3 linked regions of the Macaca mulatta genome follow. The protein of the gene in region 1 interacts with the protein of each later gene in a pairwise test. Links are inferred from orthologs where the notes say so. Each region holds a gene or a part of one and is shown on either strand. Other genes may lie near its edges.

What was found.
Region 2: the proteins of SALL2 (region 1) and ZMIZ2 interact in binary tests that used the Homo sapiens proteins (3 or more experiments, as listed by UniProt). The two-hybrid records come from large-scale screens. The link is inferred for Macaca mulatta from reciprocal best matches to the Homo sapiens genes SALL2 and ZMIZ2.
Region 3: the proteins of SALL2 (region 1) and CEP76 interact in binary tests that used the Homo sapiens proteins (3 or more experiments, as listed by UniProt). The two-hybrid records come from large-scale screens. The link is inferred for Macaca mulatta from reciprocal best matches to the Homo sapiens genes SALL2 and CEP76.

The regions. Positions count from the first base shown.
Region 1 is NC_133412.1:94,382,443-94,386,068, reverse strand, and holds the end of SALL2 (sal-like protein 2), read left to right. Parts: coding exon 1-1,338; coding exon of another isoform or gene 1,339-1,467; exon of another isoform or gene 1,468-1,691; intron 1,692-1,921; coding exon 1,922-2,158; 3' UTR 2,159-3,085; downstream 3,086-3,626. UniProt on the Homo sapiens protein: Probable transcription factor that plays a role in eye development before, during, and after optic fissure closure.
Region 2 is NC_133408.1:83,668,884-83,671,190, reverse strand, and holds the end of ZMIZ2 (zinc finger MIZ domain-containing protein 2), read left to right. Parts: intron 1-595; coding exon 596-703; 3' UTR 704-1,748; downstream 1,749-2,307. UniProt on the Homo sapiens protein: Increases ligand-dependent transcriptional activity of AR and other nuclear hormone receptors.
Region 3 is NC_133423.1:83,353,173-83,356,825, reverse strand, and holds part of CEP76 (centrosomal protein of 76 kDa), read left to right. Parts: coding exon 1-38; intron 39-1,452; exon of another isoform or gene 1,453-1,629; intron 1,630-2,133; coding exon 2,134-2,467; intron 2,468-3,653. UniProt on the Homo sapiens protein: Centrosomal protein involved in regulation of centriole duplication. Required to limit centriole duplication to once per cell cycle by preventing centriole reduplication.

The sequences.
Region 1 (3,626 bases):
AATAAAGCTGATGAAAACACCCCCCCAGGGAGTGAGGGCTCAGCCATCAGTGGAGTGGCAGAAAGTAGCACAGCAACTCGCATGCAGCTAAGTAAGTTGGTGACTTCACTACCGAGCTGGGCACTGCTTACCAACCACTTCAAGTCCACTGGCAGCTTCCCCTTCCCCTATGTGCTAGAGCCCTTGGGGGCCTCACCCTCTGAGACATCAAAGCTGCAGCAACTGGTAGAAAAGATTGACCGGCAAGGAGCTGTGGCAGTGACCTCAACTGCCTCAGGAGCCCCCACCACCTCTGCCCCTGCAGCTTCATCCTCAGCCTCTTCTGGACCTAACCAGTGTGTCATCTGTCTCCGGGTGCTTAGCTGTCCTCGGGCCCTACGCCTTCATTATGGCCAACATGGAGGTGAGAGGCCGTTCAAATGCAAAGTGTGTGGCAGAGCCTTCTCCACCAGGGGTAATCTGCGTGCACATTTCGTGGGCCACAAGGCCAGTCCAGCTGCCCGGGCACAGAACTCCTGCCCCATCTGCCAGAAGAAGTTCACCAATGCTGTCACTCTGCAGCAGCATGTCCGGATGCACCTGGGGGGCCAGATCCCCAATGGTGGTACCGCACTCCCTGAAGGTGGAGGAGCTGCTCAAGAGAATGGCTCCGAGCAATCTACAGTCTCCGGGGCAGGGAGTTTCCCCCAGCAGCAGTCCCAGCAGCCATCACCAGAAGAGGAGTTGTCTGAGGAGGAGGAAGAAGAGGATGAGGAAGAAGAAGAAGATGTGACTGATGAAGATTCCCTGGCAGGGAGAGGCTCAGAGAGTGGAGGTGAGAAGGCAATATCAGTGAGAGGTGATTCAGAAGAGGCATCTGGGGCAGAGGAGGAGGTGGGGACAGTGGCGGCAGCAGTCACAGCTGGGAAGGAGATGGACAGTAATGAGAAAGCTACTCAGCAGTCTTCTTTGCCACCACCACTACCACCACCTGAGAGCCTGGATCAGCCTCAGCCAATGGAGCAGGGAAGCAGTGATGCTTTAGGAGGCAAGGAAGAGGGGGGCAAACCGGAGAGAAGCTCAAGCCCAGCATCAGCACTCACCCCAGAAGGGGAAGGCACCAGCGTAACCTTGGTAGAGGAGCTGAGCCTGCAGGAGGCAATGAGAAAGGAGCCAGGAGAGAGCAGCAGCAGAAAGGCCTGCGAAGTGTGTGGCCTGGCCTTTCCCTCCCAGGCAGCTCTGGAGGAGCATCAGAAGACCCACCCCAAGGAGGGGCCGCTCTTCACTTGTGTTTTCTGCAGGCAGGGCTTTCTTGAGCGGGCTACCCTCAAGAAGCATATGCTACTGGCACACCACCAGGTACAGCCCTTTGCCCCCCATGGCCCTCAGAATATTGCTGCTCTTTCTTTAGTCCCTGGCTGTTCACCTTCCATCACCTCCACAGGGCTCTCTCCCTTTCCCCGAAAAGATGACCCCACCATCCCATGAGCCTGTTTTTCTGTACCTGCTGCTCTTTGTCCCACAGAGCAGAAACACCTTCACAAAAGGACCTCCCAGATTTATGAGCCCTGATTTTGTCTTTTTCTCTAAGTTCTTAACATATGTCCCTAGTGGCTTTTCTCTAGTCCCTGAGCTTGGAAATTACTGTGCTTACAAGGGGATGGCCCCCTAAGGAATTTTTCTTACCTCGTCATTCTTTGTACCTGAGGAAAATAGATTCTCTGCAGCTTTCTCAAGAGGAACCCTCTCCAGCTTCCCTGGTGTGACCCTTCTTTCCCCTCCTCTTTCCTCTCCCTTTCCCTTTGGCAGGTGCACCTGAGCACCTACATTTGGAATTGCAGCCTAGCCCAAAGGGCTGGCAGCTGTCTCTGAGGGCCCAGTGTCACTCCTCTGGGGTGACTTTTCTGCTCAGCTGGTGGGTGTGGGTCCCCTATCTTTCTAGAACCAGTATGTGGCATTCCTGTCAAGTGGCCTGCCCATGAAGCCCTGGAATTCCAGCTCCACCTCCACTACCACTCCAAGCCTGGCCCCACCAGTGCTGTTTGGCCTAGGAACTGTGGCTGGGAAGGTGCCTCCAACAATGGGATCCAGGGAAGCCAACGAGAAGACAGCTCCCCTCCTATTTCAGCCTCCTGCAACCAAGGCAGTGCCTGAGAAGCCCATCATAGACAAGAAGTAGCAAACTGTATATTCCTTTCCCCTCCCCCTCCTCCAGAAGGTGCCGGTACTGAAGATGCTCCAGTAATTGGTGACCCAACCCTAGGAAGTATGGAGAAATGAAGGGCATAGGAAAATTTTCCCGTAAATCCCCTGATGGTCACATTAAAGTAAAGGTGTTGGCTGGTCAGTGTGCCGAGACCTCTCCAGCTTCTCATTCATCATGGCCTCTCAAAGTCGGGAAACAAGCTGATTTCTTGCCAAGAGGTCTCCCAGGAGATATCTGGGAAATGTGAAGTTCATATCTTTAAGGGGCATTGTTGGTCAGCATGGTCGATGAAGTAATGATGAGAGAGTTATGGAATGTTGCTAAAACATAGGGCTTGCTGGTACCTATGTGACTAAGAAAGGGGCATGATGTAAGGGAAAGGGCCTCAAATTATTGTGAATGTGGACATTCTCGTTAATATTCTTTTGGGCTAATAGTGACATAGTGTGCAGAGGTGTTCCAGGGATCATGGGGGATTTCCTAGCACTAGTATGCTTCTAGTTTTAGATAACTCCCTCCTTTATTCCCTGGCCCCTTGTATTTTCCTTATCTTCCTCTTTCAAGACCCCTATCCTCCCCATTTTGCCTATCTGTAGGCTGGGGCCTGTGTCTTTGTCATTGTCTGGTTCTTAGAGTCCCAGACTTTGGGAGACCAGCTCCAGGTGGCATCCTCCCTGCCTCTCTGTCTTGTAATGAGATGTAGTATTTACTCTTAACATAGGATCATTTGGAACAGGAGTTCTGAGGAGGAGAGAGTGAGGATTTTGCTATTGACTGACTTGAACGATGGCTTCTCCTCAAGCTGTAGGCTCCAGAGCTTCCTCACCTAGTAAAATGTCAACAACAGACAGGGGAGATATTAGTGTCTTTCCCTCTATCATTAAAGGTGTTTTAACCAAATATTTATGTGTTTCTCCTTATTTCATGATTACATAGCCAGCTGGGGTGTGATATGGGCATTCTCCAACATTGAGATTCCCTTCCCACCTACATCTCCTGCCAAAGCTGAACATATGGTGTTGAAATATTTACTTTATTCAGCCTTGTCCTAAGACAGCCTTCAGTTAATGTAACTTCCCTGTGGAAATTGTTCCCTGTGGAGTTTGTATTTCCAAAAGGTAGGCATTTGCCCATTATGTCCAGTCATTGTCTAGATTTTTCTCTACCTAGAACCTTCCACCACCAGGCTTTTGTGTGGGTTTTGTTTGGAGGTTGGAAACTTTCTTTTCAGTCTTTTTCAAACCACAGATCAGCCTTCTGATATCAGTCAATCTGTAGAACCAAGGTGAATTAAACTTTATGATCCTTGAGATCTGATGTCATAATCAGAAAGAAAAAAAAATGTAATTCAACCCTAATAATTTCTACCAACAAGACAAAGGAGGATTCTTAGCATTAAGAATGCAGAGGAAGCACATAGGGATGGGGTTAAATAAAACGT
Region 2 (2,307 bases), on another chromosome or scaffold:
CCATACGGGCGACGCAGAGTCCTCAGAGGAGACTGTGCTGGAAGCTGACAGCACAGTCCTTTGAGTCAGATTTCATCTGTCCATTTGCTCAGTAGCCCTGGGCCTTGACTCACAGGTAGAATGGGAGTGCACACTCAGTACATGGAAGACAGGACTGACTGTCCCTGGACCATAATAGAAACTCATTGAAGTTCAACATGAAAAAAGTTAGGAAGAACAGCTCCAAGCAGAAAATCCTAGGGGCATGGAATTCCACCACCAGCATTCACCTTGGGGAATCACGGTGGGGATCCCCACGCAGGCCGGTGCACAGAGAATGTGTGGAGTGGCTGTGCTCCCTCACATCCCGTTTCCTGGTGGTATTGAACAGCATGTTGCGAGCTGTTCTGGCCTCAGCAGCCTTGCAGGGAGGTCCCGGGGGTGGCGTGTGCCTCCTTGAGCACATGCAGGCCTATAGTGGGGCCCCGCACCCAGCCTGTGTGTGGGGAGGGGCTGCTCAGCATCCCCACTGCACCTGGATGGGATGTGGTGACAGGATGGTCACTCAGGTGTGGCCAGTGACCAAAGCTGCTAACATAGTTCACTTTGTCCTCAGCTGCTCCCAGAACTGACCAACCCTGATGAGCTACTGTCCTACTTGGGACCGCCCGACCTCCCCACAAACAACAATGACGACCTGCTCTCTCTGTTTGAGAACAACTGATCCTGTGTTTACCCCAGGCCTGGCGGGGACACGCTCACAGATGTCACCACAGCCCTGCCCTTCATGCCCAGCCCCCTGAGACACCCGGTGGTCTCTCCCAAACCTCCCCCAAAACACACCTGGAGCCAGAGCCTTCTGCCGCCAGCCCTGTGCTCGATTGGAGGGGCTCCCAGCCCGGCAGCCCTCGCCACCTCCCTCTACCAAGCCTGCTGCTGCAGAACGGTTTTTGCTGAGGTGCCCCTGCCCAGCCCTCTCCAGCCTTGTCCACGCACACCTCACACCCCTGGTCTCACAGCCTCACACCTTGTCCTTCCACCCCTGCCTGCCCCCGCCCAGCCTGCTTCTTGTCCAGCATTGATCCTTCTGTTTCAACAACTCCTCCACTGGGCAGAGCTGGGCATCTGGCGGGGCTGGCTCTGTCCCCTGCGCCTTTGGCTCCAGTGGTCCCTGTGCCTGGCAGTCCAGCTCTTGGAACCTCGCTGAATGGCAGCCTCTTGGGGGCCTGGAGCTCTGGCAGCCCAGCCATGTGTCGTGTCGGGTTCCTCTCCCCACCCCAGCTTCAGGCAGAATCCTCGGGGTGGGGGAGCTACAAAGCACAACAATGTACATAGTGTAGAAACACTAACAGCTGGGAAAGGGGAGCCAGCTGTCCAGCCAGCATGTTCCTGTTGTACAGCCCGGTCTCCCTGTGCACTCTGCTCCTTCCCATGTGCAGACAGATCAGGGAGGAACCTCCAGTGGGTGGGGGACAATGAGCTTTGGCCCGGCCAAGGGGGGTGGGTGGGCTCTCAGATTCAGCTCTGTGTAAAGATTCTCTAGCGGGCTGCGCTCCCAAGTTCCCCGTTTCTGTGAAAGTGAAGAATTAGTACAGCTGTGTTTTTTAAAGCCACCTCTCCGTCTCCACCCCATGGTTCCACACCCAGGTGGGGAGGAGGAAGCCACTGCATCTGTTGGCTCAGGGCCCCAGCCTGTGCGAGCAGGGCGCCCGGGCTGTTGTGTCTCCTGTCTGTGCCGATCTCTATTAAAGGACTCCCTCTTGGTGGGCCTGGCCGAGTCCCTCCTTCATGCTCCCAGGGACTATTTTCTCCCCTGTAAGCCAGCGACCTGCCTAAAGCTTGGGCCTCTGTGCCTGCAAAGCCTGTGCAGGCTCTGGGGGCCGGGTCGACCTTCTAGTGGCTTTTGGGACCCCAGGTTGAGCTCTGGATGTTCCAAGCTAAGGCTCAGCTATTCCCGCCCCATAGTAAATTTCCTTTTCCCTGGAATTTTCCAAGTTGGCTTCAGCTGAAGAGCTATTTTGTGAAGCGTTCCAGGCTTGCCCAGGAGAGACATTTGCCACTATGTCACCTTATCTGGGCTTGCCCTGGGGCACTGAGCCAGCTGTTTGGCAGTCCCAGCCCAGCCAGGGGCTCCTTCTCAGCTCTTGTCCCTGGGAGGCCTCTGCTTGTCACTTACCAGAGATTGCAGAGGTGTGTCCTGCCTACCATCTGCCTGTCCAGCTTGGTGGGGGTCTGGGTCACCCTTTCCTCCTGTCCTGGGCCCCATCCTTGAGGGCCTTCCCAGCCAGCCAGCAGGAGAGGCAAGAACTGGGGGAACATGGGAACCTA
Region 3 (3,653 bases), on another chromosome or scaffold:
GGGACCATCACTTTTTGGGAGAGTTTAACAGGACACAGGTTAGTCTACTAAGTGTATAAGGATATTAAAATGAAGTTATAAGTTTTTTTTTTTTTTGAGACGGAGTCTTGCTCTGTTGCCCAGGCTGGAGTGCACTGGCACAATCTCAGCTCACTGCAACCTCCACCTCCCAGGTTCAAGCCAATTCTCCTGGCTCAGCCTCCCAGTAGCTGGGATTACAGGTGCACGCCACTGCACCTGGCTGATTTTTATAATTTTAGTAGAGACAAGTTTTCACCATGTTGGCCAGGCTGGTCTCAAACTCCTGACCTCAGGTGATCCACCCACCTCAGTCCCCCAATCACGCTGGGATTACAGGCGTGAGCCACCGTGCCCAGCTTAAGTTTTAAGTATTTTAAATTATAAGGGTTTTTTGTCCATATTGATGGTACTTGAAGGTACGTGTTGATGATTTTAGTTAGAGCCTTTTTAGTGATTACGTAAAAAAGTACTTCAATTATGGCAGCTAAGTAAATGAACTCTAAGAAAATTTTTACCTCAAATATTCTTTACCAACATGATGTTCGTAAACAGTAAATTATATTTACTAGTTGTGTATGATTAGCATCTTTTTTTTTTCAGTTTTCTCTCTTTTTTTTTTTTTTGGCAGTGTCTCACTCTGTTGCCCAGGCTGGAGTGTAGTGGCACAGTCACAGCCCACTGCAGCATCCCCTTCCTGGGTTCCAGTGGTCCTCCTACCTCAGCCTCTTGGGTAGCTGGGACTGCAGGTGTGCACAGCCATGCCTAGCTAATTTTTTTGGAGGGATGAGGTTTTGCTGTGTTGTCTGGGCTGGTCTTTAATTCCTGGGCTCAAGCAGGCTGTCCGCCACGGCCTCCCAAAGTGCTGAGCCACCACGCCTGGCCGGCATATGTTTTTTTCTGATGATCATCCCTAAGCCTGAAAATAAGTTCAAGTTGTAAATCATTATTTCTTTTTAAAATTTGATGTGGTTACCATCTCCATGTTGGCAATCCACTGGACACATTTTTTGAAGTACTTTAGCCTGTCATCAGATTTTGAAAGAGCTGAGTACCTCTGTTGTAGGACTTCCTCCTTAGTTCAGCTAAGAGCTGGATCTTTGTCACACTGCCACGAAAAATTAGGCTCGTAGGCAATTTGAAGGGGGAGAAAAATGGAATTTATTGGACAAAAAGGAAAAAAACTGGGAAACAGGGACCCTCCACAAAGCCAGAGCGCCCGCTAGTGTGCTTCCCGCCTCGCAGATTCACTTCCAGGGTCCACTCAGGAAGAGGAGGGGCCAGGCTCCTCCCCACTGCAAATTGCTGAACTTGTGTGGCTCCACCCCAGTGTACGCTCCTCCCAGTGCACAGGCTGGTTGGAGTTTCTCTGGGGACCCCTTTCCACCTGGCTGTCTCACTTCTCTTCCTGGGATATTCTCTTTCCTTAGCTTATTTCTTGTAATTGTCTTTCAGTATTCATTATTCCTCTCTGGCTGTTCGCAGTTTTTCCTTCATCTTGTCTTCAAATGCATGTGTTCTAGAGGCTTGGCCATGGGCCCTCTTCATTTCCCTGAGTCCTTTTTCTCCCTGGTTGATAATCATGCACAGTGATGTTTTGGTTAGTTGTGCCTAAAAATGCATAACCAGATTATTTTAATTATGTTATCTAAAGCAAACTTTTTTGATTTTTTTTTTTCTTGGAGACGGAGTTTCACTCTTGTTGCTCAGCCTCCCAAGTAGCTGGGACTACAGGCACGCACTCCCACGCCCAGCTAATTTTTGTGTTTTTAGTAGAGACAGGGTTTCACTACGTTGGTCAGGCTGGTCTCGAACTCTTGACCTCAAGTGATCTACCTGCCTTGGCCTACCAAAGTGCTGGTATTACCGCACCCGGCCTTTGATCTTAACAGTATACACAGAATGTATTCTGTTGTTTAGAGTTGGTTTCAGTATTGTAAGATGTACCATACAATTAATACAGAGTAATCAAATTGTGGAAATAAAGAAAAAAAAGTATTAAACTCTAGTTCTGAAAAAGTAGTTATGGCCTTAAGTGTTAGAATAATTTTCTCAGTAAGATGCTGCCTTCTTAATTTTTAAGTTCTCATATGTAAAATTATTTAATTTTTTTAGGTACATCCATAAACCTGCCAATCCTGATGAACCTCCAGTTGCTGAACAGCCCAAACCACTGTACCCATATCGAACGATTGGTTGTGTTTTCAACCATCAGATGTTCCTGGGAAACTGTCAACCGTCTGATGCAGTAGAAACCTGTGTCTTTGATTTGAATGATGAATCCAAATGGAAGCCCATGAGTGAGGAAGCAATTAAATCTGTGTGTGCTCCTGGAGCTACAACATCCCTTCCTCCCTTTCCACCTCTGTGCGCGTCCACAATCGACGCGTCAGTAACAAGCAATGACATTGAGATGCAGCTGAGGCTCCTAGTGTCAGAGCACAGGAAGGTAATTCACACCGAGACCGTTGTGGTTTCCTACTTCTTTTCATTTGTGTATTGTTGTATTTAACTCTTTTCTGGTGTGTGTGATAGTGCCAGTCACTATTCTAGACCTGAACAAAACAACTATAGTCCCTACTATTATGAACCTTATAATTTTGAAAGTCGTGAAAGTTTAAGTTCTGAGACTCAGAAATCTCCAAATTAATTAATACTTACAGAATGAATTACTTCCTCTTAGAAATGAAGAATGGTGAACCTGTTCACATCCCTTAGAGTCAAGATTTTTGCTGAATACCACTATTTGGATTTCCTCTTTGTGAAATGCTTATTCACATATTTGCCCCTTTAAAAATCCTGGGTTAGGCTGGGCTTGATGGCTCACGCCTATAATCCCAGCACTCTGGGAGGCTGAGGTGGGTGGATCGCTTGTGCCCAGGAATTCAAGACCAGCCTGGGGAATATGATGAAACACTATCTCTATTATTTTTAAAAGAAAAAATATGTATACTGGGTTATATTTTTTTCATATTCATTTTTCTCCCCAGGTTGGTTCCTGTTTGTTTTCATATTATACTCAACTAAGTAGATGTCTGGCTTTAATCTGCATTTCCCTGATTACTTATGAGATCAAGCCTCTTTTATTTTTATTTTTATTTTTTATTTTTAAGATGGAGTCTCTCGCTCTGCCACCCAGGCTGGAGCGCAGTGGCGTGGTCTTGGTTCACTGCAACCTCCACCTCCCAGGTTTAAGCAATTCTCCTGTCTCCGCCTCCTGAATGACTGGGATTATAGACATGTGCTACCATGCCGCCAATTTTTGTATTTTTTGTAGAGATAGGGTTTCACCACGTTGGCCAGGCTGGTCTCGAAGTGATCTACCTGCCTCAGCCTCCCAAAGTGCTGGGATTACAGTTGTGAGCCACTGTGCCCAGCCAGATCAAGCCTCTTGTCAAATAGCATGAAGATTTCCTTTGTAAAGTGCCTTTAAGAAGATATAAAAAGTATTAAGTCATAAAGGAAAAGATTATATCTTAAAGACTTAAGTTCATCAAAAGAAAACATTAAGAGATTGAAGCTGTGGGGTGGGAAAAGTTATTTGTAACACGTATCACCAACAAAGGACTCGAATCCAAAATTCCTACAAGATTGAGTTCTCATTCGCCTTTTAGGGTTCCCTGTTCCAGTCCCCA